2 linked regions of the Saccharomyces cerevisiae S288C genome follow. The protein of the gene in region 1 binds, or shares a complex with, the protein of each later gene. Each region holds a gene or a part of one and is shown in the gene's direction. Other genes may lie near its edges.

Region 1 (14,224 bases):
AAATGCTATAAGCCGTGTTGTCCCTTTATGAAGAGCTGCTTCTTCACTTGTAAATAGCGAACAAATAAAGAAAACAATCTGCTACCTCTTTGTTAAAGTTGACCGCCTTGAAGAGAACTGCAAGTCTCTGAAAGTTTTAGCTGAATATTGTCACCTCTTTTAGGATTAACAGTAAGCATATTTTTTTCTTTGAGATTCGGAAGTAAAATACCCTCGGCGGCTAAATTTTTAGAGAATGTCAAACTTTTTTAGAGATAGTTCAATGGGATTCAAGCCTCGACCAAACATCTTCGCTAAGCTGAGAGTCAGAGATGTAGATTCAGATTCTTCCGCTAATACTGTTGTCGAGAATTCATCCAACTGTTTAGACGTGGGTTCTTCTATAGAGGGAGATGATACCTTCAAAAAACCCCACAAAACTTCTACCGAACAAGAACTGATTACAAGTATGAGCCTTAGTCAGAGAAACCATGGTTATTCTGATGATATGGAAATAGGTTCACCAAAAAAAACAACATCAACAGACCAATACAACAGAATTTTAAAAAATGATGTTGCCGCAATTGAAAATGATACTGATGAAGATTTTGAAATTACAGAAGTAAGAGAAGTGAGTGAAGGAGTAGCAAAAGAAACGAAAGAAAGTCATGGGGATCCTAACGATTCTGAGACAACTCTCAAGGATAGTAAAATGCATGAATATACTATGACAAATGGAAAGGCTCCTTTGCACACGTCCATCAATAATTCTAGTACATCTTCAAATGATGTCCTGTTAGAAGCCTTCACAAACACTCAAAGAATATGTTCAAATTTAAAGCAAGAGCTACAAAAGCAGCAACAGGATAATGCAAAGTTGAAAGTTCGACTACAGTCGTATGCTTCCAATTCTGATAAGATCAATGAAAAAGTCGGAAAATATAAATCTTGTTTAGAAACTCTTCAAGAAAGGATTGCAACGTTGACGAGCCATAAGAATAATCAAGAAACTAAATTGAAAGATTTAAGACAAAACCACCAACTATATCAGAGAAGGATAAGCGGATTTAAGACAAGTATTGAAAACTTGAACAAAACAATAAATGATTTAGGGAAGAACAAAAAGGAGGCGGATGCAGAATTAATGAAAAAAGGTAAAGAGATTGAATACCTGAAAAGAGAACTAGATGATTGTTCAGGTCAGTTGAGCGAAGAAAAAATCAAAAACAGTTCCTTAATACAGGAAATGGGAAAAAATAGAGAAGAAATGATTAAATCAATTGAGAATTTCTTTTCAGAAGATAAAGCACACCATTTACTGCAATTTAACAAATTCGAAGAAAGAGTTCATGATTTGTTTGAAAAAAAATTACAAAAGCACTTCGATGTGGCAAAAGATACCCTTAACGTAGGCTTGAGGAACACCACTGTAGAGTTGAGTAGTAATACAGAGACCATGCTAAAGCAGCAATATGAAGATATCAAAGAAAATCTTGAACAAAAAATGTCATCCAGTAAGGATGAAATGGCAAAAACAATAAATGAGCTGAGTGTAACGCAAAAAGGACTTATAATGGGAGTACAAGAAGAACTATTAACGTCATCAGGGAATATTCAAACTGCTTTGGTAAGTGAAATGAATAACACAAGGCAAGAGCTTCTTGATGATGCGTCTCAAACAGCCAAAAATTACGCGAGTTTGGAAAACTTGGTGAAGGCATATAAGGCAGAAATAGTTCAGTCGAATGAGTATGAAGAAAGGATAAAACATTTGGAGAGTGAAAGGTCAACTTTGTCTTCACAAAAAAATCAGATTATTAGCTCTCTTGGTACTAAAGAAGCACAATATGAAGATTTGGTCAAAAAGTTGGAGGCGAAGAATATCGAAATTTCACAAATTTCTGGCAAAGAACAAAGTTTAACTGAAAAAAATGAAAACCTTTCTAATGAACTGAAAAAAGTCCAGGATCAACTAGAAAAACTCAACAATTTGAACATCACAACAAAATCAAATTACGAAAATAAAATATCTTCTCAGAATGAAATTGTGAAGGCTTTAGTTTCCGAAAACGACACTCTGAAGCAAAGAATTCAACAGCTAGTAGAAATCAAAGAAAATGAACAGAAGGATCATACAACCAAACTGGAGGCTTTCCAAAAGAACAATGAGCAGCTACAAAAGCTAAACGTCGAAGTAGTACAACTGAAGGCTCATGAATTGGAGCTTGAAGAGCAGAATAGGCACTTAAAAAATTGTTTAGAAAAAAAGGAAACTGGTGTTGAAGAATCACTAAGCGATGTAAAAACCCTAAAACAGCAAGTGATAGTTCTGAAATCGGAGAAGCAAGATATAACAGCTGAAAAGTTAGAACTTCAAGATAACCTCGAAAGTTTGGAAGAAGTCACCAAAAATTTACAGCAAAAGGTGCAATCGCAAAAGAGGGAATTAGAACAGAAGATTAAAGAGCTAGAAGAGATAAAAAACCATAAACGGAACGAGCCTAGTAAAAAAGGTACACAAAATTTTACTAAACCATCAGATTCACCCAAAAAAAATGCTACGACGTCCAACTTATTTCCTAATAACTCTGCTGCCATTCACTCTCCTATGAAAAAGTGTCCTAAGGTGGATCATATAAGTAAGTCAAGAATTAATTCATCCAAAGAAACATCCAAATTTAACGATGAGTTCGATCTTTCTTCATCATCAAATGACGACCTAGAGTTAACCAACCCTTCCCCAATCCAAATTAAACCAGTGAGAGGAAAAATCAAGAAGGGTTCAAATTGCATGAAACCTCCAATTTCTTCAAGAAAAAAATTACTACTAGTAGAAGACGAAGACCAGTCATTAAAAATAAGCAAGAAAAGGAGAAGGAAATAGAGGATAATGGAAAATTTGAAATCGTTTTGTGCGAATACATTTCATTTTGTTCCCTGCGTAAGAAGTATGCATAGTAAAATTAGCGTAGATATAGTTTTTTGAGGTATATACTTATTCATAGCTTATAAATATTTACAGTGTTGTAACTCTAGTAAAAACAAAAGAGGTCATCTAGATTGCATTCTCCTTATTTTATCACTGATATCGTCTTCTTCAAGAAAGTGCAGGATCTTGGTGCACGACTTAGGATCACCAACTTTCTCAATATGAAGTACTGGTATGTCGAAGCAATATTCCTTCCACCATTTTGCGTTTCTTCGGTCAGTTATGTTGACTATCTCTAGTGAAACTGCTTTATTATGAAATTCCTTTCTTTCAAATACATCATCTATCACTTCCTTTGCTTGATCGCATAACCCACAATTAGGCTTTGAGAAGAAAGTTAATTTCACTCCAGCATCATGTAACAATACCCTCGAAGTATGTATAGAACAGCGGAACGCTCTCAACATGGTGATATGTTCCTTAAGTTTTATGTCTTACTGAATAATTACGAATTTCTGTTATGAATTAAACGAAACTTTACAATGCATCAACTCCGAACTCTCTACGGAAAGGTAACAACTTGCGCACATCATAGACCCATAAAGCGAAAAAAAGGGAAGTCAATCACAGTTATATTGACATTCCAAAGCCAGTAACTAAAAAACTACAAAAATGGATTCTCACAGTCATATTAAGTGACCTCTTATTATTTCCCTTAAAACGGTAATTCTTAATAAAGAACGTCAGTGTTCCGAGTGATAACGCCGTGAAGCACCCTGCTTCATTACATATGAAATCGTGGGGAGAAAAAATCGTGAAAACAATATAGAGAATAAGTGAAGTTGAAGCTCCACAAGCCCTTGTAAAGTAAACTTAGATTGAAGCGATGGTATTAACGAGGCAAGTACTAGAGGAAGTGGAGAACACATTTATTGAATTACTTAGGAGTAAAATAGGACCTCTCGTAAAATCGCACGCAGGAACAAACTTTTGTTCATATGATGATAAAGCAAATGGCGTAGATTTGGTAACTGCTTTAGACAAACAAATTGAATCTATAATCAAGGAAAATTTAACGGCCAAGTATCCCAGTTTCAAATTTATCGGAGAAGAAACTTATGTAAAAGGTGTCACGAAAATAACTAACGGCCCTACATTTATTGTTGATCCCATCGATGGTACTACTAATTTTATTCACGGTTACCCCTATAGTTGTACATCTCTAGGTTTAGCTGAAATGGGGAAGCCGGTTGTTGGTGTGGTTTTCAATCCTCACTTAAACCAACTATTCCATGCTTCCAAAGGCAATGGAGCTTTCTTAAATGATCAGGAGATAAAGGTTTCAAAAAGGCCATTGATTTTGCAAAAATCCTTAATTGCTTTAGAAGGAGGTTCGGAAAGAACTGAAGGTTCCCAAGGAAACTTTGATAAGAAAATGAATACTTATAAAAACTTACTAAGTGAGTCCGGCGCCTTTGTTCACGGGTTCAGAAGTGCAGGAAGTGCTGCCATGAACATATGCTACGTAGCGAGCGGCATGCTTGATGCTTATTGGGAAGGTGGCTGCTGGGCTTGGGATGTTTGTGCCGGTTGGTGTATTCTTGAGGAAGCAGGAGGAATAATGGTTGGCGGAAATTGTGGAGAATGGAACATTCCATTAGACAGAAGATGTTACTTGGCTATTAGAGGTGGATGTGAGTCGATGGAGCAGAAGCGATTTGCAGAATCGTTTTGGCCTCACGTTGCGGGTGAGTTAGAATACTAAATGCCCCCCTCAGGTGTCGTTAAATAAGCTACATCTAAGAAAAGTTTATATAGTACTTCACGCAATTCCTACTAGTATTTTTTTCCAGTACAGGACGATATCTTGAAGCAGCAACTTGATTTCACAGGTCACTTAGTGTGGGCTTCTGACTCAAGAATAGCAAGTATTACATGCATGCGGCCCTCTCCTTTAACAGCGCGATATACGTGAAGAAAAATTTCAATGAAGAGTAATGCGCTTATTATCAACTTCGATTGAAGGGGTCCTATATCAGTATGCTACAAGGGAAGGTTGTTCGATAAACATAAGCTTCTCATTAGCATGAGTTCTATAGATAATGACAGCGATGTGGATTTAACAGAAGATTTAGCCGTGGCCAAGATCGTTAAAGAGAATCCTGTAGCTAGAAAAATGGTTAGGTATATTTTATCGAGAGGAGAATCTCAAAATTCGATCATAACAAGAAACAAGTTACAATCTGTTATACATGAAGCTGCTCGCGAGGAAAACATAGCAAAACCGTCTTTTAGTAAAATGTTTATGGACATAAATGCTATACTGTATAACGTATATGGGTTTGAATTACAAGGATTGCCGTCAAAAAATAATATGAACGCTGGCGGTAATGGAAGCAATAGCAATACAAATAAATCAATGCCTGAGCCACTGGGACATAGAGCCCAGAAATTTATCTTGCTAAACAATGTCCCGCACTCAAAAAATTTTGACGATTTCAAGATTTTACAAAGCGCTCACACTTATGAAGAGCTAATAGTTACCGGAGAGTATATTGGTGACGATATAGCTTCAGGAACTTCCAATACCTTAGAAAGCAAGTTGAGTACAGATCGAGATCTTGTTTACAAGGGTGTTTTGAGCGTCATTTTATGCATTGTTTTCTTCTCTAAGAATAACATATTACATCAGGAATTGATCAAATTTCTAGAGACATTTGGCATTCCAAGCGATGGTTCAAAGATTGCTATACTGAACATTACTATTGAAGATTTGATAAAAAGTTTAGAAAAGCGCGAATATATAGTCAGATTGGAGGAGAAATCCGATACCGACGGGGAAGTGATATCATACAGGATAGGTAGAAGAACTCAGGCTGAGCTTGGACTAGAGTCTCTTGAAAAATTGGTGCAAGAAATCATGGGCCTTGAAAAGGAGCAGACTAAAAGTTTGCACGATGATATAATAAAAAGCATTGGCGATTCATATTCTATATAGCATTGCATAGGTGTCCATGTAGTTTAGGTGCGCATCTTTTTTGTCGAGGAAATAGTGAAGATGAATACGAAATAAACTATGGGCAAATAGTTACGAAAAAAGACTGGACTTAAACGGGTTACTATATATTTGTATAAGTTATCTCCTTGTTTTCTTTTTACTCAACCATCATATTAATTTGCAAGCTTACTTAACAAGTCTTGTATACTAGAAGAAACCCCTCCGGAATTCTCAACACCTTCGTCGGTTTGGGCGCCGACGTGGCCTTCTATATCTAACTCATAATGTCCATCCTCACTGTTGAAAGTACCATCTTCACTCGTCTTCGAATCAAGATGAACCTTTTTTTCCGGTATGTCATTAGCGTCATCATGACCTATCATATCATGTGTTCGTTTCATACCAAATTGATTGTCACTAGGATTATGAGTAGAGTTTTTATGTTCGCTATCTGTCTTTTCTACAACTTCATTCTTCTTATCTGTGGTGCTAATATTAGTAACGCCATAATTGCTGTCATTGGATCTATCATCGTAATTTTTGTCATCATCATCATCATCATCATCATCATCATTATCACCATCATCGTCATCGTCATCTCCATCCCCCACTTCATACGTAGGAATAATATTGTCTTCATCAACGTTTTTATTTAATCTGGATGGGTCTTTAGCAGATAAAACGAATTCTATTTCACTTAACATATTCTGTTCCTCATCTAGATGCCTTTTTTCATCGTCCAGTGTGCTTTGCAGTTTATGGATACCGCTTTCTCTTTTTAGAATTGATTCATTTATTATATCTTTAGCCATGTTCCCAATCTTACTTATTGTTTTAAAATTTTCCTCGTAAACTGAGCTGGATGGATCCAATTCATCTGATGATTTGTCAAATCTCATTTTCATCGCGCAAACATTATGGTGCATTTTCACTAATTTTTCATAGTCCTTAGCAAAATCTTTCAATTTCTGGGGTAACACCAACGCTTCCACTGGTGAGCTCTCGGTTTTAAGACTTCTTTCTATGTCATTGACTACCTGCTTGGAAAATATATTTCTTTCTTTTAGTATATTCACAACTCTTGACAACTTCTTTTTTAGGTCCCTCGGAAACTCTTGATTAATTCTTCCCAATACTTCTGCTGCCACCTTTCCAAAGGAATCTTGAAATTGAATAATTTTTTGACCTTTAGCCTGTTGAACAACATGATTCATTAAGTAAAGACCCAATAACTTCCTTCTTGTGTTTACACTAGGCCTTAACATGTATTCTTTCCACATTTCTGCCACTTTGGGAGCATCTCTATACTGTAGAAGCAACCACTTTGAGGCACTGGAAATAGATTCTTGGGAATCTTCCAACGTATTTAATTTGGTTGTGAATTGCTCAGAAGAGAAAGGCATACCGTCTATTTTAATCTTGGATTATTGCTTTCTTCAAATTTTCTACCTCTTCGTTAAAACCTTCTTCGCTTGTACTTATATTATTATGTTGGCTTTTCAAGTTTATATATTTTTAAAGGAAAAAAATAACTTTTTCATTTTTCGTTATAAAACAGAACCGTTATACATATTGAGATGGTTAAGGTCGTAGAAAAGAAATGTTCATTTGAGAAGGAAAAATGGAGGAAGGACCTATCAAAAAGAAACTGAAGTCAGCAGGTCAAGGGAGTGGAAAGACCGATGCCTTTAGAAATTTTGAACAATTTTTTTTCCGCCTTAATACTCTTTACACCTTTTTGATTTGCAGAAAGCATGTTGTGCCTACATTTAAAACACTTTGTGGACCTATAGAAACTGCTTTGAAAAGAACTGTGACGAAAGAAGACCTAGCCATGGTTATGGCGCTAATGCCAAGAGAATGTGTTTTCAAGTATATTGATGAGAACCAAATTTATACTGAAACTAAGATTTTTGACTTCAATAATGGCGGCTTTCAGCAGAAGGAAAATGACATATTTGAACTGAAGGACGTTGATGACCAAAATCAGACTCAAAAATCTACTCAGTTACTTATATTTGAATTTATAGACGGTACAATGCAACGCTCATGGTCTGCAAGTGATAGATTTTCTCAAATAAAGATACCAACATATACTACGGAGGAAATGAAAAAGATGATTTCTAAAAGGGAAGCTCTCTTTAAATCCAGACTACGGGAATTTATCCTGGAAAAGGAAAAGGCTAACCTTGACCCATTTTCTGAGTTAACAAATCTAGCGCAGAAATATATTCCAAGGGAGAGAGATTATGAGGATCCTATTGAGGCAATGATGAAGGCGAAGCAAGAAAGTAATGAGATGAGCATTCCCAATTATTCCAATAATTCAGTGATAACAACAATTCCTCAAATGATTGAGAAATTAAAAAGTACTGAATTCTACGCTTCTCAGATAAAGCATTGTTTTACAATACCATCAAGAACAGCGAAGTATAAAGGTCTCTGTTTTGAGCTTGCACCGGAAGTATATCAGGGTATGGAACACGAAAATTTCTACAGCCATCAAGCAGATGCGATAAACAGTCTTCATCAAGGCGAAAACGTCATTATTACAACATCGACCTCTTCAGGTAAATCCCTTATTTACCAACTAGCAGCTATCGATCTTCTTTTAAAGGATCCTGAATCAACGTTTATGTATATATTTCCAACAAAGGCCCTGGCACAAGATCAAAAAAGAGCATTCAAGGTAATACTTTCAAAGATCCCCGAGCTAAAGAATGCCGTGGTTGATACGTATGACGGCGATACGGAGCCAGAGGAAAGAGCTTATATTCGTAAAAATGCTAGAGTTATTTTTACCAATCCTGACATGATACATACCAGCATTTTACCTAATCATGCAAATTGGAGACATTTTTTGTACCATCTAAAGTTAGTGGTGGTCGATGAATTGCATATATATAAGGGTTTATTTGGATCGCACGTGGCATTAGTGATGAGACGTTTACTAAGACTGTGCCACTGTTTTTACGAAAATAGTGGTTTACAATTTATTTCATGTTCTGCAACTTTAAAGTCTCCAGTACAACATATGAAGGACATGTTTGGAATTAATGAGGTTACGCTAATACACGAGGATGGCTCACCTACAGGTGCTAAGCATCTAGTGGTGTGGAATCCTCCAATTTTACCTCAACACGAACGTAAACGAGAAAATTTCATTAGAGAGAGTGCAAAGATATTGGTACAATTGATATTGAACAACGTAAGAACCATAGCATTTTGCTACGTTCGTCGTGTTTGTGAATTGTTGATGAAAGAAGTTCGCAATATTTTTATTGAAACTGGGCGTGAGGATCTGGTTACAGAAGTCATGTCTTACAGGGGTGGTTATTCTGCTTCCGACAGACGTAAAATAGAACGTGAGATGTTTCACGGAAATTTAAAGGCTGTCATATCTACCAATGCTCTAGAACTTGGTATTGATATCGGTGGACTAGACGCAGTCTTGATGTGCGGTTTCCCACTATCAATGGCGAATTTTCATCAACAAAGTGGTAGAGCTGGAAGAAGAAATAATGATTCTTTAACCCTCGTGGTTGCAAGTGACTCGCCTGTTGATCAACATTATGTTGCTCATCCAGAATCCTTGCTGGAGGTTAATAATTTCGAATCTTATCAAGATTTGGTTCTTGATTTCAATAACATTTTGATACTGGAAGGACACATACAATGCGCTGCTTTCGAACTGCCAATAAATTTTGAACGTGACAAGCAATACTTTACTGAATCTCATCTTCGCAAAATCTGTGTTGAACGCTTACATCACAATCAAGATGGGTACCACGCCAGTAATAGATTTTTACCATGGCCGTCCAAGTGTGTATCTTTGAGAGGCGGAGAAGAAGATCAATTTGCCGTAGTGGATATAACAAATGGAAGAAATATAATAATTGAGGAAATAGAAGCATCCAGGACTAGTTTTACTTTATATGATGGCGGTATATTCATTCACCAAGGCTATCCCTACCTTGTGAAGGAGTTTAATCCTGATGAAAGATATGCTAAAGTGCAAAGAGTAGATGTTGACTGGGTAACCAACCAAAGAGACTTTACAGATGTAGATCCACAGGAAATTGAACTTATACGCTCTTTAAGGAATAGTGATGTTCCTGTTTACTTTGGTAAGATCAAGACTACAATTATTGTATTTGGCTTTTTTAAAGTAGACAAGTACAAGAGGATCATCGATGCCATCGAAACCCATAACCCTCCTGTAATAATCAATTCTAAAGGATTATGGATAGATATGCCAAAATATGCCTTAGAAATTTGCCAAAAGAAGCAATTAAATGTAGCAGGAGCTATTCACGGGGCGCAACATGCAATTATGGGTATGTTACCGCGATTTATAGTGGCGGGTGTGGATGAAATACAAACTGAATGCAAAGCTCCGGAAAAGGAATTTGCAGAACGTCAAACTAAACGAAAGCGACCAGCTAGATTAATATTCTATGATTCCAAGGGCGGTAAGTACGGGTCTGGCTTGTGTGTTAAAGCGTTTGAGCATATTGATGATATTATAGAGTCTAGTTTAAGAAGAATAGAAGAATGCCCATGCAGCGATGGATGTCCTGACTGTGTAGCGGCTTCTTTTTGTAAGGAAAACAGCCTGGTCCTGTCGAAACCTGGCGCCCAAGTCGTTTTGCATTGTATTCTAGGTCACTCGGAAGATAGTTTTATAGATCTTATCAAAGATGGTCCAGAGCCAAATATGCCAGAGATAAAAGTAGAGACTGTTATTCCTGTGTCAGAGCATGTCAACTTTTCAGATGATTTTAAGATTATTGACGTTAGAAGAGCTACGAAAGACGATACTCATACAAATGAAATCATTAAAAAAGAGATATGAGCACGCTATTTGTAGTTTGTAAACCGAATATAAATACTCTATTCTACTACTTGTAGATTCACTTGGTGGAAAGAAGTTACATCAACATTCTGTCACCTTGTTGATGCACAGAAAAAAAGACACTTTATTATTGTTGAATAACATTGTCTGTGGTATATATATATATACTATGATATTACAGTTTTTAAGACATTAATGTATTAACAGCCCATTTTACGCTTAATGTCCTCAAATCGGTATAGGTTTGTCCCACGCCAACGAATAAGATAGGAATCCCCGTAGCATAAACCATATTTACCATAGTACCCAGCATTTCACCAACTGTGTCACACTTGGAGATAATAAAGAAGTCAAGATTTCTTCCCTTTCCGAAGGCATCATTAAAATTTTTGGCTTGCTGGACAGAATCAGTACCTACTAAAGCCTCTCCAACCATAATGATTTTATCTGGCTTGGCTTGGTCAGCGAAAGACTTCAATGGCGACATTAAAGTAGGATCATTATGCCTTCTCCCGGCAGTATCCATTAACACTATATCGAAGTTTTGATCACGAGAATATTTGATGGCTTGCTTTGCAATTTTGGTTACCAAGTCAGATCCACCATAACCAGCTTCAAATAGTTCAACGTAGTCATTACCAGTTTTACCCCTTTTGTTCTTGGAGCCACGAACGTGTGAATCATCCATTAGCTGTGCCAAATTTTCAACATGGACCCTTAGTTGCTCAACTGCACCAGACCTAAACGTATCACAAGCAACAATTAAGACCTTGAAATTATTTTGCAGTAACCAAAACGCTAGCTTTGAAAGATTTGTTGACTTACCAACACCATTAACACCAACTATAGAGAACACATAGGGATCACATTTACCTTCTTCATCCTTTTTGCTTCTTTTGCTCTGAATTTCACGGAGGAGATCAACGGATACACCAGGCGTTAATATTTGAGTTAATGCTTTTGTTAAAGATTCACGAGCAGTATTCTCAACACTGGTCCAATTTGCAGTTTTTGAGCCTACAAGATCATGTGAGACTTGCTGTGTTAAATAGTCTGCTGCCTCTGGTGCTACATTTTTGGTTATCAATTGTTGTGTTAACTTCTCTAATACAGATTTCAAATCACTTTCATTGATCGTTTTGTTACCTAGAACGTGTTTTTGAAGGAATCCAAAAGCTGTACTGACGTATCCAGAATTTTTAGCTTCGTTCCCACTAGTTATCTCGTCTTTATGAGAAGACAAAAGATCATCAATTTCTTTGATTAAGAAATCGCCTCCTTCTGTTCTATCCCCAAAAGAATCTTTATTAATAGTGGAGTCTAGAGCTACTTGGCTACTATTGTGGCTGTTGGATGATGAGAAATCTAATTTGGCTGCATCTTCATGATTCATTTCATCAAGCATGCCACCATCACGGCCCCACTTTCTCCCACTACCAACATTTCCTGTAGATTGCTTCTTACCTTTTGTATCCCTCAATTTTTTCTTGGTATTTTTATTATGCGATTGGGGTACTGATCCATTTTTGGTAAAATTATCTGGATTGATATGGTCTTGTTTTATTGACTCTTCATATTTTATCCTAAAATATTGCTCAAATTTCTTCAGGTCGTCTTCAATTCCCTGAAGAATATCGACGTAGTTATGCTTGTTCTTTTCGTTTTGGCCCTGACGATTTTTTAGAATGGATTCACTTAAATGCAATGAGTTCCAGAGTTTTAACACCAGTGCAAGTGTTTGTTGAGTTTCTTGATTAAGCTCTAAAGTCTGCTCGGCAAAAGTCACTACGAAATACAATTCTGGTTGCTTATTCAAATAAAATAGTGCATTAAATGAAGGAGAATTTTTGTGTTCGCTGTTGATTGTTAAAAGATTGAAATCAAATCCGTCTGTATTTGCGTTTGCAACACTTTCTTTTCTAGTTACTGGGGAAGTAATCAGCTGGGATATAAAGCTGTTAATTTGTATTTCAGAAAACTTTTTTCCTAAACAGTTATATTGGTAAAGTACTTGACCTTGAGGGGTAAAGACTGCTAATTGGTCGAACATAATCAATGCACTTATTGAACCGTGAATCTCCTATTGAAAAAAACTACTTGATGAAGTAGCTGAATATTATTCAAACTGTGAGAATACCACAAATCTTTGGCTACAGATTAAACGCTGACGAAAAATTGGTTTATTTATTTCTATCTACTTATTGTACGACCTCAAATGTTTACGCAGTAGTTTCTGAAGTACGAGCAAAATTGCTCGACGATGATTTCGTTATTGTTTCCGGAAAAATTACCCAGCGCATAAAAAGTAAGCTTTCAGTACTTCTCTTTGATGATATTTGTACAGCAAAAGGGTATTTAGTAACGGAATAAATTTAATATATAAGAGTATAAATAACAAAAGACAATATAAATTGAAAAGTTGTAAATATTGAAAAGAAGGCTGCATTATTGTTTTATGTATTTTTGGGAAAAAATATATGACTTAACGAGGTCGAATAAAAAAATTTGGATGATGCCTTACCGGAACGTGGATTAAAAGGAGAAGTACAAAATTCATGCAGTTGTTAATGTTCGCAGGAAATAAAAACAAAGGGAAGGGATACTGAGGGGTGAAGCACAATCCAAAGAACGAAAGTGAAAAACAAGAAAAACAGCAATGACGATATTGGTAGAAGAGATTATACCCTCTTCATGAATGGATTTAATGCACGGACGGTTAAACATGGCAAAGCCATCCCCACCTCAGCTCTCAATAGAATAGGAATCTTTTGCAATTCATGTATTTCTTGTATATAGTTATCATTTTCAATTCTGGTTTCAGTAGTAGAAATGAATTTTTCTAAAGCATTTTGCTTGTTGTCGCTTGCAGATGGTAGCCTTAAATTTGGTACTGTTAGATGCAAATCGCTGAGTTCCTTACTCAATGGATCGCTGATCAATGGTTCAGATTCCGCTTCTTTATCTAGTTCAATATTCGCAATCTCAGCGGCTGTGGATCTGAATTTGTTCTTAATGGAATTTCTATAGGATTTTGGATTTTTTTCATCTGCTGGTATAAAAGTTGCACTATCTACGCCGGGCTGCCAATGCAATTCCAAGACACGATTGGTACCATCAAACTCAGCTTTGATCAAAGGTAGTTGATCTCCATGAACTCTCTTTTCAATACCAAATTCTGGAATAAATACATCAAAGGAGGACTCGTAAACTTGTAAGACAGTAGCCATTGTTAATAATTGTCCTGTAGTATTTCCCATGTCGTTGATTGTTTTACACAACAATAGATGAATTGCTTGTTCCTGTGCTTGATAAGCACAGTCCTTTTTAAAATTACAATATTCGGAGGTAATCTTCAAAGCTTCCATATCTTCGGTGTATGGAGTATCGTGGATAACGGCCTTTAATTGCCTATGAACGACATGATCAGCGTATCTTCTCATTGGCGCTGTGAAATGTGTGTAGA
Region 2 (16,722 bases), on another chromosome or scaffold:
TCAATTCGGACAGCAAGTTTGCGAATAGCAGTCGAGCTTCGGAGGAGGTCTTAGTGTCCACTCCAAATGACACAGAACACGTCTACAGAAAGACATCTCTAGGTTCTAAGATAAAGAGAGGTTTTACTAGAATATTGAGCGACAGTAATAATAGTAAGGAAATTCTCACTTTATCACCCAAATCTATGGTGACTACGGGGCCTACAGAATTGTCGTTTTCCTCTTTATCAACCGTGGGAGGACATCCGACAACGCCAGTCTCAAAAGAAAATGATCGAGTTTCAATAGATGGCGTGAGTACATTTAATCGAGCATCAACATCTCTTCCAGAATCATCAACAGACGACATCTCTCCACTACGCGAAGAAGGTAAGATTAATGTTCCTAAAAGAACGTCAAGTAGAAAGATACTGTCTAAAAATTCAAGCAAAAAAAATGTACTGCCTGAACAGCAAACAAAGCCAAGTGAAATATATCTGGATAAAGAAGCCTTACAAAGTTTTGTTCCCGTACTCTCTGTCACAGAGGGTACTCATCGCATCAATCGCTCGTCGTTACAAACGCAATCTACCATCGGATTATGCATTACCAATTTAAGAAACAAAGAAGGCATGAAGCTCAATGCCAAGGAATACGTGGAAATCCTGGCTCAGCAGCAACGCAAGGAAGATGAAAGGTATGCTGTTTTGGAAAGAAAATTTGCATCTTGTAGATGGTGCAGTGATAAGGACCTGCAGTATTTGAAAAAGAAACGAATTTCCATGAATAAGATATGGTCTGATTATGTCCGATTTTACCGTGGAAAGTTGAACAACCCATGAAGGAAAAAGGTCTTGGCTATATATAACGGCAGACAAAATATAAGTATACACGTATATATGGTGGTAAACACGCATATACTGTATGCCATGTATTTACCATTACATAGTTATTTACGCACTCTATAAAAAGTTAACATTGCATTTTAATAAATTCCTTAAATTACTCTAATTAGGATGGTAGCCCTACCTTTTTTTTTTTTGGCACACATGGTCAACTTTTCTTCTCATGCTTTAAAAGGCGAGAAAAAATGAAAATTAGCAAAATGACCTTTCCCTCCTTCCCACATTGAATATATACACTGGAAGATATAAGCAACCAGTACTGTAGATAAAAAAGATCACTACGATATTCGTCGGACTCCAGTCGGAGTGCAGTGCCCGATTACTCTTAATTGCACGCATCGTGCCAAGTTTAATTGGTATTGCTCGAACATCTAGGAATAAGAGAAGGACTTACTTTAGAATGATGAAAGAGGTAGCAATTTGCAGCAGATTTTTCGTGATTGAATCAAACAAAGATTAACCTTTACAGAACCGCTACACTGATACTAATGTAAGAAACATTTCCTTTATTTTTTTTCTAGCCCGTAGTGTACTCTTATAGTTTTGATATTTCCTTTCTATCTTTGTAAATGTAAATAATCACATTTGTCTGACAACACACTTGTTGCCACTAATTATTTCAACAAGCTGGCATAGCTGATCTTATTAATCTTGTAGACCGTTCAGGATGACTGGGCTATATTATGGCGTTAACTTTCGCGTTGGATTACCTTTTTATGCGATGACAAGATGCCGATAATAGGTATTTACTTTCACAAGTACGTGTACGCAATTCTAAAGGAAGTATATCAAATAAAAGGGCGTGGTACATAAAAGCTATATCCCTAGCATGACCAGTCTAATAGATTTGGGCAGATATGTTGAAAGAACGCATCATGGAGAAGATACAGAGCCAAGATCGAAAAGGGTAAAAATCGCAAAACCTGACTTGTCTTCCTTCCAACCAGGCAGCATTATTAAGATCCGTTTACAGGATTTTGTTACTTACACTTTAACCGAATTCAATCTTTCACCGTCTTTAAATATGATCATTGGGCCAAACGGATCTGGAAAATCTACTTTCGTATGCGCAGTGTGTTTAGGATTGGCTGGTAAACCCGAGTATATTGGTAGGAGTAAAAAAGTGGAAGATTTCATCAAAAATGGTCAAGATGTTTCAAAAATTGAAATCACCTTGAAAAATTCACCAAATGTTACTGATATTGAATACATAGACGCACGTGATGAAACAATAAAGATTACCAGGATTATTACGAGATCCAAGAGGAGATCGGATTATCTAATAAATGACTACCAGGTATCTGAGAGTGTAGTTAAAACTTTAGTTGCTCAGCTGAACATTCAGTTGGATAATCTTTGTCAATTTTTATCTCAAGAGCGTGTTGAGGAGTTTGCTCGCTTGAAGTCAGTTAAATTATTAGTAGAGACTATAAGGTCAATCGATGCAAGCTTATTGGATGTGTTGGATGAACTAAGGGAATTACAAGGAAATGAGCAAAGCTTGCAAAAAGATCTCGATTTTAAAAAAGCTAAAATTGTTCATTTGAGACAAGAAAGTGATAAACTACGTAAATCAGTTGAATCTTTACGAGATTTTCAAAATAAGAAGGGTGAAATCGAGTTACACTCCCAACTATTACCTTATGTGAAAGTAAAGGACCATAAAGAAAAGCTAAACATATATAAAGAAGAATACGAACGAGCGAAAGCGAACTTAAGGGCTATACTGAAGGATAAAAAACCATTTGCAAATACTAAGAAGACTTTGGAAAATCAGGTGGAAGAGTTAACAGAGAAGTGTTCCCTAAAAACTGATGAGTTCCTGAAAGCAAAAGAAAAGATCAACGAAATCTTCGAAAAATTAAATACTATTAGGGATGAGGTCATCAAAAAGAAAAACCAGAACGAATATTATAGAGGAAGAACCAAAAAACTACAGGCCACCATTATTAGTACAAAGGAAGATTTTCTAAGGAGTCAGGAAATATTAGCACAAACACATCTTCCTGAGAAAAGCGTATTTGAAGATATAGACATTAAAAGAAAGGAAATTATTAATAAAGAAGGCGAAATTAGGGATCTTATTTCCGAAATTGATGCGAAGGCGAACGCTATTAATCATGAGATGAGAAGCATACAGAGACAAGCTGAAAGCAAGACCAAATCCCTTACAACAACTGATAAAATCGGTATCTTAAATCAGGACCAGGATTTAAAGGAGGTCCGTGATGCTGTGTTGATGGTTAGAGAGCATCCAGAAATGAAAGATAAAATTCTAGAACCGCCAATAATGACCGTGTCTGCCATTAACGCTCAATTTGCTGCATATTTAGCACAATGTGTGGATTATAATACGAGTAAAGCCTTGACTGTTGTTGATTCTGATTCTTACAAGCTATTTGCAAATCCAATTCTTGACAAATTCAAGGTTAATTTGAGAGAACTCTCCAGTGCAGACACCACCCCTCCTGTACCAGCGGAAACGGTGAGGGACCTGGGATTTGAGGGTTATCTATCCGATTTTATTACCGGTGATAAGAGGGTTATGAAAATGCTTTGTCAAACTAGCAAAATTCATACTATACCGGTATCAAGAAGGGAATTGACGCCTGCTCAGATAAAGAAGTTGATTACACCAAGACCGAATGGGAAAATTCTTTTTAAAAGGATTATTCATGGGAATAGGTTAGTCGATATCAAGCAATCAGCATATGGTAGTAAGCAGGTCTTTCCTACTGACGTTAGTATTAAACAAACTAATTTTTATCAGGGATCAATCATGTCAAATGAGCAGAAAATTAGAATTGAAAATGAAATTATCAACTTAAAGAATGAATACAACGATCGAAAATCTACGTTAGATGCATTGTCAAACCAGAAAAGTGGTTATAGGCACGAATTATCTGAGTTGGCGTCAAAAAACGACGATATTAATAGGGAAGCTCATCAATTAAATGAGATTCGCAAGAAGTACACTATGAGAAAAAGTACAATAGAGACTTTAAGAGAGAAATTAGATCAACTGAAACGTGAAGCTAGAAAGGACGTATCTCAAAAGATTAAAGATATTGATGATCAGATCCAACAACTATTACTCAAGCAAAGACATTTGCTGTCTAAAATGGCCTCTTCAATGAAGAGTTTAAAGAATTGTCAGAAGGAGTTAATAAGTACTCAAATCCTTCAATTTGAAGCCCAAAATATGGATGTTTCTATGAATGACGTAATTGGTTTTTTCAATGAGAGGGAAGCTGATTTGAAGAGCCAATATGAAGACAAGAAAAAGTTCGTAAAAGAAATGAGAGACACTCCTGAATTTCAATCATGGATGAGAGAAATCAGGTCTTATGACCAAGACACTAAGGAAAAATTGAATAAAGTGGCAGAAAAATACGAGGAGGAAGGGAATTTCAATCTGTCATTCGTTCAGGATGTTCTCGATAAATTAGAATCGGAGATAGCTATGGTAAACCACGACGAGTCAGCCGTAACAATTTTGGATCAAGTCACAGCCGAACTGAGAGAGTTGGAGCACACGGTTCCTCAGCAGTCGAAAGACTTGGAGACCATTAAAGCTAAATTAAAAGAAGATCACGCAGTTTTGGAGCCCAAATTAGATGATATTGTATCAAAAATCTCTGCAAGATTTGCGCGCTTATTCAACAATGTTGGGAGTGCTGGTGCGGTTCGTCTAGAAAAGCCGAAGGACTATGCTGAATGGAAGATAGAAATCATGGTAAAATTCAGAGATAATGCACCTTTAAAAAAGTTAGATTCCCACACGCAATCAGGTGGTGAAAGAGCTGTTTCTACAGTTCTTTACATGATTGCTTTGCAAGAGTTTACCTCTGCACCATTTAGAGTGGTTGATGAAATCAATCAAGGTATGGACTCTAGAAATGAAAGGATCGTTCATAAAGCTATGGTGGAGAACGCGTGTGCCGAAAACACTTCTCAATATTTTTTAATCACTCCAAAATTATTGACTGGCTTGCATTATCATGAAAAGATGAGAATACACTGTGTCATGGCTGGTTCTTGGATTCCAAACCCTTCTGAGGATCCGAAGATGATACATTTCGGTGAAACTTCTAACTACTCATTCGATTAATCTTTCACTATTGCATAATTAATTATACACATATAGATGTAAACATGTTTATAACCAAGACGTTTGGTCTCATCTAGCAAAAATGTCTTCTAGTGTCAGCTGTCTTACCTCACAAATGTAAGGCTTCACCAAATAAAGAACTAATTAAATAGAACGCGCTTAAGAAAAGCTGCAATAATTAATTTCTTATATTAAATTCGAGGCACCAAAGCAAGCAACCGCTACATGACAAAAATCTAATCTGGTACAGAAGAACTATAAAATAACAATATGATCATGTTGAGAATACCGACACGGTCTTATTGTTCACCTTCGAAGCTAATAAAGGGCGTAGGTCTCTCACCATTGAAGAAATCTCTGTTATCCAAGAAAATAAAGGAAGATATCCATCCTTCTTTACCTGTTAGAACTAGGTTTGCGCCTTCTCCAACTGGGTTTTTACACTTGGGGTCACTGAGAACAGCCCTTTACAATTACCTATTAGCAAGAAACACCAATGGGCAGTTTTTGCTTCGTTTAGAAGATACAGACCAGAAGAGGCTAATAGAGGGAGCAGAAGAAAACATCTACGAGATTCTGAAATGGTGTAACATAAACTACGATGAAACCCCTATAAAGCAAAGTGAAAGGAAACTAATATATGACAAATATGTAAAAATATTACTATCTTCTGGGAAGGCGTATAGATGTTTTTGTTCAAAGGAGCGATTGAACGATTTGAGACACTCTGCAATGGAATTGAAACCTCCTTCGATGGCAAGCTATGATCGATGTTGTGCACACTTAGGGGAGGAAGAAATAAAATCTAAGCTAGCGCAAGGTATACCTTTCACTGTGCGGTTTAAATCGCCAGAACGATATCCAACGTTTACTGATCTTTTACATGGACAAATAAATCTTCAACCGCAAGTAAACTTTAACGATAAACGGTACGATGACCTTATCCTTGTTAAGTCGGATAAGTTGCCAACCTATCATCTGGCAAATGTTGTGGATGACCATTTGATGGGAATAACCCATGTTATAAGAGGTGAGGAATGGCTGCCCTCTACTCCTAAACATATCGCCCTATATAATGCATTTGGGTGGGCTTGCCCAAAGTTCATCCACATTCCCTTATTGACGACGGTTGGTGATAAGAAATTGAGTAAAAGAAAAGGTGATATGTCTATCTCGGATTTAAAAAGACAGGGAGTTTTGCCAGAAGCTTTGATTAACTTTTGTGCGCTATTTGGCTGGTCTCCTCCAAGAGATCTGGCTTCGAAAAAGCATGAGTGTTTTTCAATGGAGGAATTGGAAACCATTTTTAATTTGAATGGTTTGACGAAGGGAAATGCCAAAGTCGATGATAAAAAATTGTGGTTCTTCAATAAGCATTTTTTGCAAAAAAGAATACTTAATCCTTCTACATTGAGGGAGCTTGTCGACGACATTATGCCTTCTTTAGAGTCCATATATAACACATCTACCATAAGCCGTGAGAAAGTAGCTAAAATTTTACTGAACTGTGGTGGTTCTCTATCAAGGATTAACGATTTTCATGATGAATTTTATTATTTTTTTGAAAAGCCCAAATATAATGATAATGATGCTGTCACGAAATTTCTAAGCAAGAACGAAAGCCGCCACATTGCTCACTTATTGAAGAAGCTTGGACAGTTTCAAGAGGGCACCGATGCTCAAGAAGTCGAATCTATGGTCGAAACGATGTATTATGAGAACGGTTTTTCTAGGAAAGTCACGTATCAGGCAATGAGATTTGCTCTTGCGGGATGTCACCCAGGTGCCAAAATAGCAGCCATGATAGATATTTTGGGCATCAAGGAAAGTAACAAAAGATTATCCGAAGGTTTACAGTTCTTGCAAAGAGAGAAAAAGTAATAATAATATTAATAAAAGGTTTCGATACAATAGGGTCATGTAAATACGTCATATACATAATGTAATTAGCCACTACTGTATACGTTTATTTTGTTATTATGATTAAGCTTGATTAAGTTTAATTAAGTTTAATTGAATTTTCTTAATGAAGCCGACCGAACGTTCTGGAAGAGTTATATAGGAATCGGGTACTAAAAGCGAAATTTGGGGATAAAAGGAGAGATCTACATTTTATTTAAAATACGTCAATTCGACTCACCCTTTAAATACGAAAATAAGTGGTCTAATAAATTTGCAAATTCGGAGATTGATAAGAAATATTTGAGTGAGAGAAAATAAAGAAATGTTTGCTGCAATTGCCTCAGGAAATCCATTGCAACTATCGGTAGAAGTCCCCAATTCAAATGGGTTACAGCATACAATTGTCCTTTCTCGAACGAAACCGAAACTATACTCGCATATAACACTGTTTATATTACCTAATGTTACCTTTCCTCAGGATTATATAGCTACAGTCTATTTCAAACTTAGCCCTCAGGAAGAATTTAAACTATTTGGGTACCTAAGCAGTGAGAAACCCAGTGCCATATTCAAAGTGCAAATACCGAGCTCGAAGAAAGACGCTGGAGATACAAGTGATGGATTAGGTGAGATAGACATGGATGTAGATGATGGTTCGGGGGCCGCTGATCCGTTTACTGACACCAATGGAAGTAGCAGTAATAACATATCAGAATTGATTATTGGTATTTCCATTGAGCCTCGAGAACAAGGAATGATGAAATTAGAAGAGTGGAAGGCCAGCATGAATGCCGAAGCACAAAAGAACAACTCATTGATCTTGTCAAGACCTAACTTAGGAATAATTCGAAATATTACCACGGCAGGGCAGTTGGCACAAGTTTACCCTTCATTGACACAAGAATTGGCCGCCAAAATCGTTCAGCATGCATATAACTATTTATCAGGGTTCCTAGATGCTCAGGGAAACGTGCCCATCAAGAGGTTTGATACATGGTGGGACAAATTTAGAAATAGACTGGCCAACGACGGGACGTTTTTGGATGAAGTAACTAAAAATTAGACACGGATATATAATATATCTCTAATAAGATTCACGAAATATTAATTGAAAAAAATATTATTAATATTAAACTATATATGCAATGACAGTGAAATCAGAGTTCATCTCTGAAATTTTTTATTCTATGAGCCATGGGGTTGCCAAAGATCAAGTGTCTGCTGTCGATAAGTTTCTTATCAAATGAGTCTTGTTCAGTATCTCTCTCTTGGAGCCCATTGTCCAAGTTAGATTGCCTGGCTTTACATTGTTGCGCTAACCAATTCAAAAACCCTTTGTTGATCGTGATGTCACTTTTGAAAATTTTCTTCAAGTTGTAAAGGGTGTCAAAAAACGTTCTTGTATGTAGTTCATCTATACTTTTGTTCTGGACCATCTCTTGGAACTCGTTTGCCCACTCTTGCAGATTTGACGACCAATTCTCAGCATTTCTTTTGAACAAAATTAGATTTGTATCGTCATTTTCGTACATGTCGGCCTTCAAAATTTTGCTGATCAACTCCAGGACTTTTATTTGTAACTGTTTGTCCTTGTTGTTTCTTTCATATACATTTTGTAAAACAACCGTAGAGTATATAGGAAGATCTTCGGATGTGACAGGTAATTCGTTTAAAATGGACAAGTATCTTTTTATTAGGATATTAGAGGATCTGTGGTTAGAATCATTCAAATTTGACAGAGCGGCCATGATTTTGCTTTTAAAATTTGGAAAACTTTCATTAATGAACTCGACTACAGGAGGATTGTTTCTCAAGCAGCTGGTAATGACTCTAGTACTGAGCTCTCTCAATGTTAACGGCAAATTTTCATTGAGACTAAGGTTGGCCAAGAGGGCGAATTCATGGGTAATAATTTTGTAGCCGTGCTTGTAATCATGCGCAAATTCCATTATTCTATCAAAACTATCCTCCAATCTGGCAATGTCCTGTGAAGATAAAGTCGGGTTAGAATCTATGATGTTTCTCATTTCTTTGAAATCACTGGAAAATTCATAGTCACCAGGCGATGCTTTCATGTCTTCTGAAGATACAATTAACTCATGGCTACCATTATCACCGACATTCTTCTCATCATTTAGTTTTGCCTCTTTTAAACCTGTGTCCATGTTTATTCTAATGTCCAAACCACCGGGGAGTTCTTGACCTGGCAGTATGGGCTGCCAATCGTGTCTTGGTTCAAATATCTTAGGATAGCAACGATTATCAACGCAGATCGAATTCCCTGAAATTTCAAGTTCTTTAAGATCTTCTGCAGATATGATTTCGCCTCCAGATGGCACTGAGTGTATGGATGAATGCAATATTGTACTCGCCACTAATTTCGAAGATAGGGCGCTCAAAATTATGGGAAGAATCCGGACCATTCTAAGTTTGCGTTCTTGGAAGTGATATTCAATATCGAGAACTTCCAGCGATGCGAAAACTAGTCTATTATAGTTGCTAATGTGTGCTCTATCATTTACGTGGCCTTTTCACATAGTCTGGTCTTTCTTAATTATCACAATTCCGTTACCCGAAATCTAATCTCGTGTTTAGCTTCGATCTGCGGACGTTACTTCTAACGTCCAGAACACTTCACCCGCTATTTACGTTTTGATCTAGTTGCGGCCTCCAAACCTGCAGATGAATCGTTCATTACATTCTTGCTGCCACTAGTTGGCCGCTGCGTATACAACAAGAAATATACTATGCATTTATGTAACGCGCTTTAGTCAGTAGCCTCAGTAATGCCTTTTCTAAGGTCAGTATGTCAATATCTCTCGGGTGAACCCCAACATTGTTGTTCTTTCTTCGTTGTTTCTCTCTCTTATCATCTTCTGTGTCTTTGCTTTCTTTTGTTCACAATTTCTCGAGAAAAAAAACTCCGCAGGAAATTTTTCACTTTTATTTTGCTTATACTATAAATAGGAAGGTCCCTGAACTGATTTGTTGACAGTGTTGCATTTCGTATATAAAAGTAAACAGTGGGCTGTAACAAACATATTATATATCACTCGCTACACACACAGCTCTAAATAGCTATGTTACTACGTTCTCTTACAAGTGCCTTCGTTTTAAGTGCTGGTTTGGCTCAGGCTGCTAGCAGCAGTAACAGTTCCACACCATCCATTGAAATTAAAGGCAATGCATTTTTTAATTCGGAATCAGGTGAAAGGTTTTATATCCGTGGTGTTGATTACCAGCCTGGTGGTTCTTCTAACTTGACTGATCCCTTAGCAGACGCATCTGTCTGTGACAGAGACGTCCCCGTTCTGAAAGATCTAGGGATAAATACTGTCAGAGTTTATACTGTGGATAACTCGCAAGATCATTCCCATTGTATGAAACTATTGCAGGAGAACGGTATATACTTGATCCTGGATGTCAATACCCCCACGAGTGCTATTTCTCGTTACGATCCAGCCTGCTCCTATAACGCTGACTACTTACAAAATGTCTTTGCCACCATTGATACCTTTGCTGATTACGACAATGTTCTAGGTTTTTTCGCTGGTAACGAGGTCATCAATAGTGTTAATACTACCAACACTGCTACTTATGTCAAGGCAGTGGTCAGGGACATGAAGAAATACATCAAGGCTAGAAAATACAGACAAATTCCGGTAGGTTACTCGGCTGCTGATATCGTCGCTAACAGACAATTGGCTGCTGAATACTTTAACTGTGGTGATGAAGCTGACGCTAGAATCGACATGTTTGGTGTTAATGACTATTCTTGGTGTGGTGAATCTTCATTTGTGGTATCGGGTTATTCCACCAAGATGAAGCTATATCAAGATTACTCCGTTCCTGTCTTCTTAAGTGAATTTGGTTGTAACCAAGTCAAGAGCTCTCGTCCATTCACAGAAATTGAAGCTATCTATTCCACTCAAATGTCTTCTGTATTCTCCGGTGGGCTAGTCTACGAATATTCCAATGAAACTAACAATTACGGGCTCGTTCAAATTGATGGTGACAAGGTCACTAAATTGACAGATTTTGAAAACTTGAAAAATGAATACAGCAAAGTATCCAACCCAGAAGGCAATGGTGGTTACAGTACTTCCAACAACTATTCTACATGTCCTGATTATGAAAAGGGTGTCTGGGAAGCTAATAACACTTTGCCTGCTATGCCAAGTGCTGCTTCTGCTTACTTCACATCTGGAGCAGGTTCTCCTATGGGAACCGGAATCGCCACCCAACAAAGTTGTGATGCTAAGGACGATGACGACGAAGAAGACGACGACACCTCCTCTTCATCCTCTTCTTCCTCTTCATCTTCATCTTCCGCTTCTTCATCTTCTGAATCATCATCCTCGACTTCAAAGGCATCTTCCTCCTCCCCTTCTGCTAGCGAAACGAGCTTGCTAAAATCTGCCGCATCTGCTACTTCGTCCAGCCAATCGTCCTCGAAATCAAAGGGTGCTGCCGGAATTATTGAGATTCCTTTGATATTCCGTGCTTTGGCAGAACTTTATAACTTGGTTTTATGAGTTTTCACCCCCGTTCTTTACCACATTGTTTCTAATTATTCCGTTAGCGCCGCTTACTTTTAATGTTCTTAAGATAAAAAAACATCATTAATATTATTATTAAAAAATTCATATATATACCTATATCTATATGCACTATTTATGCTTCCACTTTTCTTTTCTTTCTAAATACATCATTCCAAGACGTTTTTGTCCATCTTATGTAATGCATCCTTGATGCTTTGCAATTCTACTTTCTGTCCACGAACGTGCAATCCAGATGCAATGTTCTCTAACGCTGATGAGATCGAAGTTGAATCCTCAGGATTTAGTTGTTCTTGGATACTTTTATTTTTTTGCATATGTTGACGGATTTTTTGATATGTGTAACTGATCGGCAGATACCTCTTTGCATCGGAAGCCGCATTCATTTGTGCATTCTTGCAGGAACATATTTCGGGTAGCTTGATTGAATTGTAATTTACGTCAGTTTGTTGTTCATTTAGATCCGGTGACAACGCACTGTTGGAAGAGAAAGAGCTTGAACTACATTTATTCGAAAGTGATTGACAAAAATTCCTACTATGGGGGTCTGATCTACATTGCTTGCAGCTTCCAGGTATCCATGACCCATCCTCTTTAGTGATCGGTCTATTCTCGCTATCGTAGATTTCTTTGTCTCCACAGCATTTCGATATTGATTTCTTAGCATCGGATTCTATTTTCTTTTCTGAACAGCAAACGGGGACTAAGGATGGCATTATGTTATTCTTTTGGTTGCAACATGTTACTGGTTTCATGGCATCTTTATTCCTACAACATTTTATTTTTTTGTTGCCACTGCCTGCACATGCATTGATACTGCTGCTGCATGAAGACAGAGGTGAATTAATATGGCCATCAAGCGATGAATTCGTTGAACTAAACTGTCTGCCGCTCAGATATTGATAATCGTTGGCTATATCAATCTCAGACAAAGACTGGTCTGTTAATACCGCGGGCACATGAGATGTTAACAATGGGCCTTCAGCTTTCCTTTTTTTAAACTGACAGCGCCGATTGGTTTAAAGTTTTCTACCATTTCTAATATCGAAATAGGATTGTCTGGCGGGTTTTCTGGCTGCTGTTGAAATGGAGTATTAACAATCAAAGGCAAGGCTTTTTGCAATTCGTTGTTTAATGCTATTGATTTTTGCAAGTTTTCCTTTGTATCGGAAAACTCAGATTCCAGCAGTTTATATTTCCTTTGCCAATCATCGACCAAATTGTGTAGCATCTCAACCTTCTCTTCCAGAACCTGGATTCTTGTTGTTCTGCGTTCCCTATATGCTCTTTGCGCATCTCTATTTTGCCTCCTTCGCTTTTCCACGCTATCGACACCGTTTTCATCACCACTTCCGTTGCCTTCATCATCAGATTTCCCCTCATGACCTTTTGCGCCTTCGTTCTCATGATCTTTTGTGGTCATTTGGTCTTTCTGGTTGGAAGTTTGAACCTTCTTTATCTTGGACGATCCATCATTATTAGCTGATGCATCCCCGCGCTTGGATTTCGGTTTGCGGCCCGGTTTTAGGCGCTGTGGTAACTCCCAATTCTTGGATAACTTAATAGCTGACGGTCCTGATGTACTCACATTTCCATCTGGTGAGGATGGAGGTGGAGACGTCGTAGACATGGAACCCTGTTTATGCCCCAATTTGAAGCCTTTGGGCTTTACGCTAACTGCTACTACAGACCTTCGTTGTCTCATGATCCATTGAAAGTGTGCGTAAATGACAAAATTTTGTGCCTTTCTATATTCTTTAATTGATGATTTACTTCCTTGATAACGGCTCAACAAACGAAGAGCAATTTTCAAATTTCAAAAGAAAAAACCGTTGAAACTGTTCTTGAGCAACTTTCAAGCCTCTTATGATGATGTGCTACAGATTGAAGTACAGGTGAAAAGAGGAATAACCAATAGCCTTGTTTGCTTTCTACGGTGGGGCAGCGGATTTTCTCTTTTATGCTTATGCTTCTTCTTCCATATATTACTAATTTTTCTCGAGCGAGCAGCTTTACTGCGTGCATTACCGATGAAAAAAATCGCCGATATATGAAAATCCAGCTCATAAGATGCTGATTAAGGAGTCATGAGTGAAAGGACCCTCGTGGCCATCACAAAAAAGACACTTTGCTCCTGTATAAAAAAAAAAATAAGGCGGTAGTTTAGATAGGGTGTCTATTATATACATGCATAATAATTTAGTTTTGAAGGGTCGCTGGTTTTGCCGTGACGTACGCTTCTCTTTGATCTTTTGCCATTGTTGTCAGAGAAAAGAGAACCGATTGACTTTTTTTTTTTAGTTTTTTTTAGTTTTTTTCTTAGGCTTTGATCTAATATCAATCTTTCTTAATGACAAAAGTCTTCGCAGCTTGATCGGCCGGAATGGGAGGTACAGATTTTGCTTCTTCCTCTTCATCTAGGTTGATATCATCTGGCACATGCTCTCTCGAAGCTCTTTGCTTAGCTTCCTCTTCCTCCTTCTTTATTAGTTCTTCTTGCTCCTTCAAAACGTTCAATTTGAACTCGTTATCGTCGGATGTCTTCTTTTCTTCAGCTTCCGTGGCTTCCGCAGAGTCGGTAGGCTCTGCGTTCTCTTTTTCCTGAGATATTTCCTCTGTCTTCGCTGTTTCTGCCTTTTCATTAACTACGACTAGTTTAGGAGTAACCGCAGAAGCGGTGGTAGCTATAACAGACTCTTTTGCGGTGGCTTCTTCCTTCGGTATAGCAGTTTCCTCGGGTTTTTCTTCCGTCTTTATCTTCTTTTCAGCAACTTGCTTTTCAGCTTCAGTTTCAGCAGCGGATGATTTCGATTCAGATACATCTAGTTTTGCGACGTTGTAAACGGGATCTGGAATGGAACTTAGCACTTGTAATATACCGTCGTAGTACAGATCCAAAAGGTCGTCATATTTGCTTTTTGTTTCTTTTTTTTCAGCTAGTGGCGAGAATGCCTTTGAATAGTTCTCCTTTGGAAGTCCTCCAAACGTGAACGTGGAACTCAAAACCATCAAGACGGATGGGATTTTTTGTCTCAGTCTCAATTCTAGCCAAACTTTTAGATTATCGACCAAGTCCTCCTTGGATACACCGTACGCTTTCATACCACGAGACACACAAGCTTGATACAGCTCTTCTTGCGATAAACTTTCAACGCCTTCGTAGTCAATAGTTTTATCGTCGTTCATTATATCCTTTAGTTTGGAACGAATTTGGTAACGAAGCATGTTATCGTTACCAAATGGCCTTAGTGACATAAACTTCGACATTGCTGCCAATTGTGGTCTTGACAAGTTATCCAAAACGCTATCGTTTTTGAACATTTGCGCAATGGCGCTTATTTCATCGTGTTGGAAAGTCATAATCTTACCTTCCTTGGCAGAATAAAGCTTCCGGAAAAAATTCAAAAATTTTTGCTTCTTCTCTGCATTTTCAATGGTGTTGTAAGTGATCAAATTGGATTCTTCCAAAGTCTCATGCAAGAATTCGGATGTCTTTTTTCTGATCTCGATGAGCTTATTTCTCTTGGCTTGCTTATCCTTGCCGGATTCGTAAGTGGAGGGTAGTAAGTTGGGGAAGAGTTTCAAAGCGAAAGGCAAAAATAGTTCGGCGAATGGAATAATAAGGAACGCTGAAAAAGGGATCAACCTAAACACATCGCCCATTGTCCTCCTCAATTGGTTCCTCTCTCTTCTAGACAACTCGTAACCCTGAGCAAATTTAATCAAAAGCTTAGTAGAAACTTTGATTTCGTAACCCAAAAGTTTCGTCCCATTAGCATAATGTTTCAAGGCGTGCTTCACTTTGACCATAAGCGTCTCCTTGGGCTTGGCAGGAGCATCGGTGGATGTTGGAGCTACGGGCTTCGTAACACTTTTCGACTTATCAGTAGAATAAAATCTCAAAGATAAAGGATAGTTGGGCTGTACTCCTTGCGCTCTCAAAGGCCAATGACACGAGGGAATAGTGGAAGCTATTAATCTAGGGCCTTGATTTTTAACAAAATACAAGCTTGCTTGACGTCTTGTCACACATGACGCTCTTGATGCGAAATTCAACATCTTAGTATATTATCTGTAGTGATAGAGATAGCGTATATTATGCGCTGCCTGAAATGCACTGCGCTGTTCATATTCATCACCGTGGCAATGACTGATCCATTTATTTGGAGATGATTCAACGAATAATTTTTCACCGCGGGATTATCGCCCAAGACGGGGTCGTTTGAGGGTAATACCGTGGCTAGCTTTATGGCTTGTGAAACTATTGCCAGTTATGTGGTTACGTATAATCTACCGTATGTGTGTGTGTATTTATTTATGTAGGTTGCTAATGCTTTGGTGATCGTTTAAAGGAACTTGGACGCAACCCTCCCACGGGTGCCAGGGCTTGAAATCTCTTTCAATGCTGCTATTTTGCGCGACTCTGGGTACACCTTATACCCCTTGTTTCTATGGTTAAACCAATTGAATCTCCAGCAGAGCTCGTGAGCAAATAGCTCGCCGAAGCCGAGCATCATGCCGTTGAGGAAGGGCAAAAGTAGGTTGATGGAGCACGAGCCTACAAAGGATACAAGGCTCTGCACAAGTGGGCTCTCGTCGGCACTCACTGTGTTCTGCACCTCCATACAGTCTTTGTCTTCTGATTCGTCATCTGACACGCTCTCCCAGAATCCCACAACCTCTGTCATATTTCTGTCTTGTGGCAGTTTCGTAAGAAGGGGGGTGATGTTTCTAATATTACAGTGATGTTCTATTGTTCAAGTAAAGTGTATGGCTGTTTCTTATGGCGCGGAATATACCACTTCGTTATAAGTGATTACATCTCGTAACGCATTCCTCTTGTTCAGTGGTAGGGGAGGCCGATGGTAGTGGAATAATACGCTTTTATGGGCCATTGGTATTACTATTTATCTTCGTTATAATAAATAGTACACGTTGCAGACATATTTGGAGGAGAGTTTTTAAAGTACTGTTGGGGTGCTCTTGCTGTGCATTGTAAGTAATCGTGTCCCAGTGGCCGAGTGGTTAAGGCGATGCCCTGCTATTTCCTCAGAAAAGCAATTAGGCATTGGGTTTTACCTGCGCAGGTTCGAATCCTGTCTGTGACGCATTTCTTTTTTGTGAATTCTTGCTTCTTATCCTTCTACAATCCTTTCGTGACATTTATTGAATCATCTCTACAAAATTTTTACACATAGCTAAGGTTAGCTTGTTCTACATTACACAAGTGGTAGCAAAATCGTTTACATTGCACTCAGCTATATCA

The links.
Region 2: the proteins of NSE3 (region 1) and SMC5 are in contact, whole or in part, in a cryo-EM structure (PDB 8I13), measured with the Saccharomyces cerevisiae proteins. Residues at the interface, in NP_010574.1 of Saccharomyces cerevisiae: Asp159 (codon at 5,469), Asp160 (codon at 5,472), Ser215 (codon at 5,637), Asp216 (codon at 5,640), Gly217 (codon at 5,643), Ser218 (codon at 5,646), Lys219 (codon at 5,649), Thr249 (codon at 5,739), Glu252 (codon at 5,748); in NP_014608.1 of Saccharomyces cerevisiae: Lys232 (codon at 2,407), Lys233 (codon at 2,410), Lys915 (codon at 4,456), Glu956 (codon at 4,579), Lys957 (codon at 4,582), Pro958 (codon at 4,585), Lys959 (codon at 4,588), Asp960 (codon at 4,591), Lys971 (codon at 4,624), Asn975 (codon at 4,636), Ala976 (codon at 4,639), Pro977 (codon at 4,642), Leu978 (codon at 4,645).

Annotation. Positions count from the first base shown.
Region 1 is NC_001136.10:1,032,201-1,046,424, forward strand, and holds NSE3 (Smc5-Smc6 complex subunit NSE3), read left to right. Parts: upstream 1-4,994; coding exon 4,995-5,906; downstream 5,907-14,224. Other genes in the region: ZIP1 (Zip1p), read left to right, coding at 236-2,863; MGP12 (Mgp12p), read right to left, coding at 3,031-3,375; inositol monophosphate 1-phosphatase INM2, read left to right, coding at 3,795-4,673; RTT103 (Rtt103p), read right to left, coding at 6,080-7,309; HRQ1 (ATP-dependent 3'-5' DNA helicase), read left to right, coding at 7,528-10,761; SRP101 (signal recognition particle receptor subunit alpha), read right to left, coding at 10,946-12,811; mRNA-binding translational repressor SSD1, read right to left, coding at 13,440-14,224.
Region 2 is NC_001147.6:258,210-274,931, forward strand, and holds SMC5 (DNA repair ATPase SMC5), read left to right. Parts: upstream 1-1,713; coding exon 1,714-4,995; downstream 4,996-16,722. Other genes in the region: YOL036W (uncharacterized protein), read left to right, coding at 1-821; glutamate--tRNA ligase MSE1, read left to right, coding at 5,266-6,876; OPI10 (Opi10p), read left to right, coding at 7,220-7,960; SIL1 (Sil1p), read right to left, coding at 8,055-9,320; GAS5 (1,3-beta-glucanosyltransferase), read left to right, coding at 9,978-11,432; YOL029C (uncharacterized protein), read right to left, coding at 11,606-12,211; YAP7 (Yap7p), read right to left, coding at 12,424-13,161; ribosome-binding protein MDM38, read right to left, coding at 13,794-15,515; MIM1 (Mim1p), read right to left, coding at 15,803-16,144.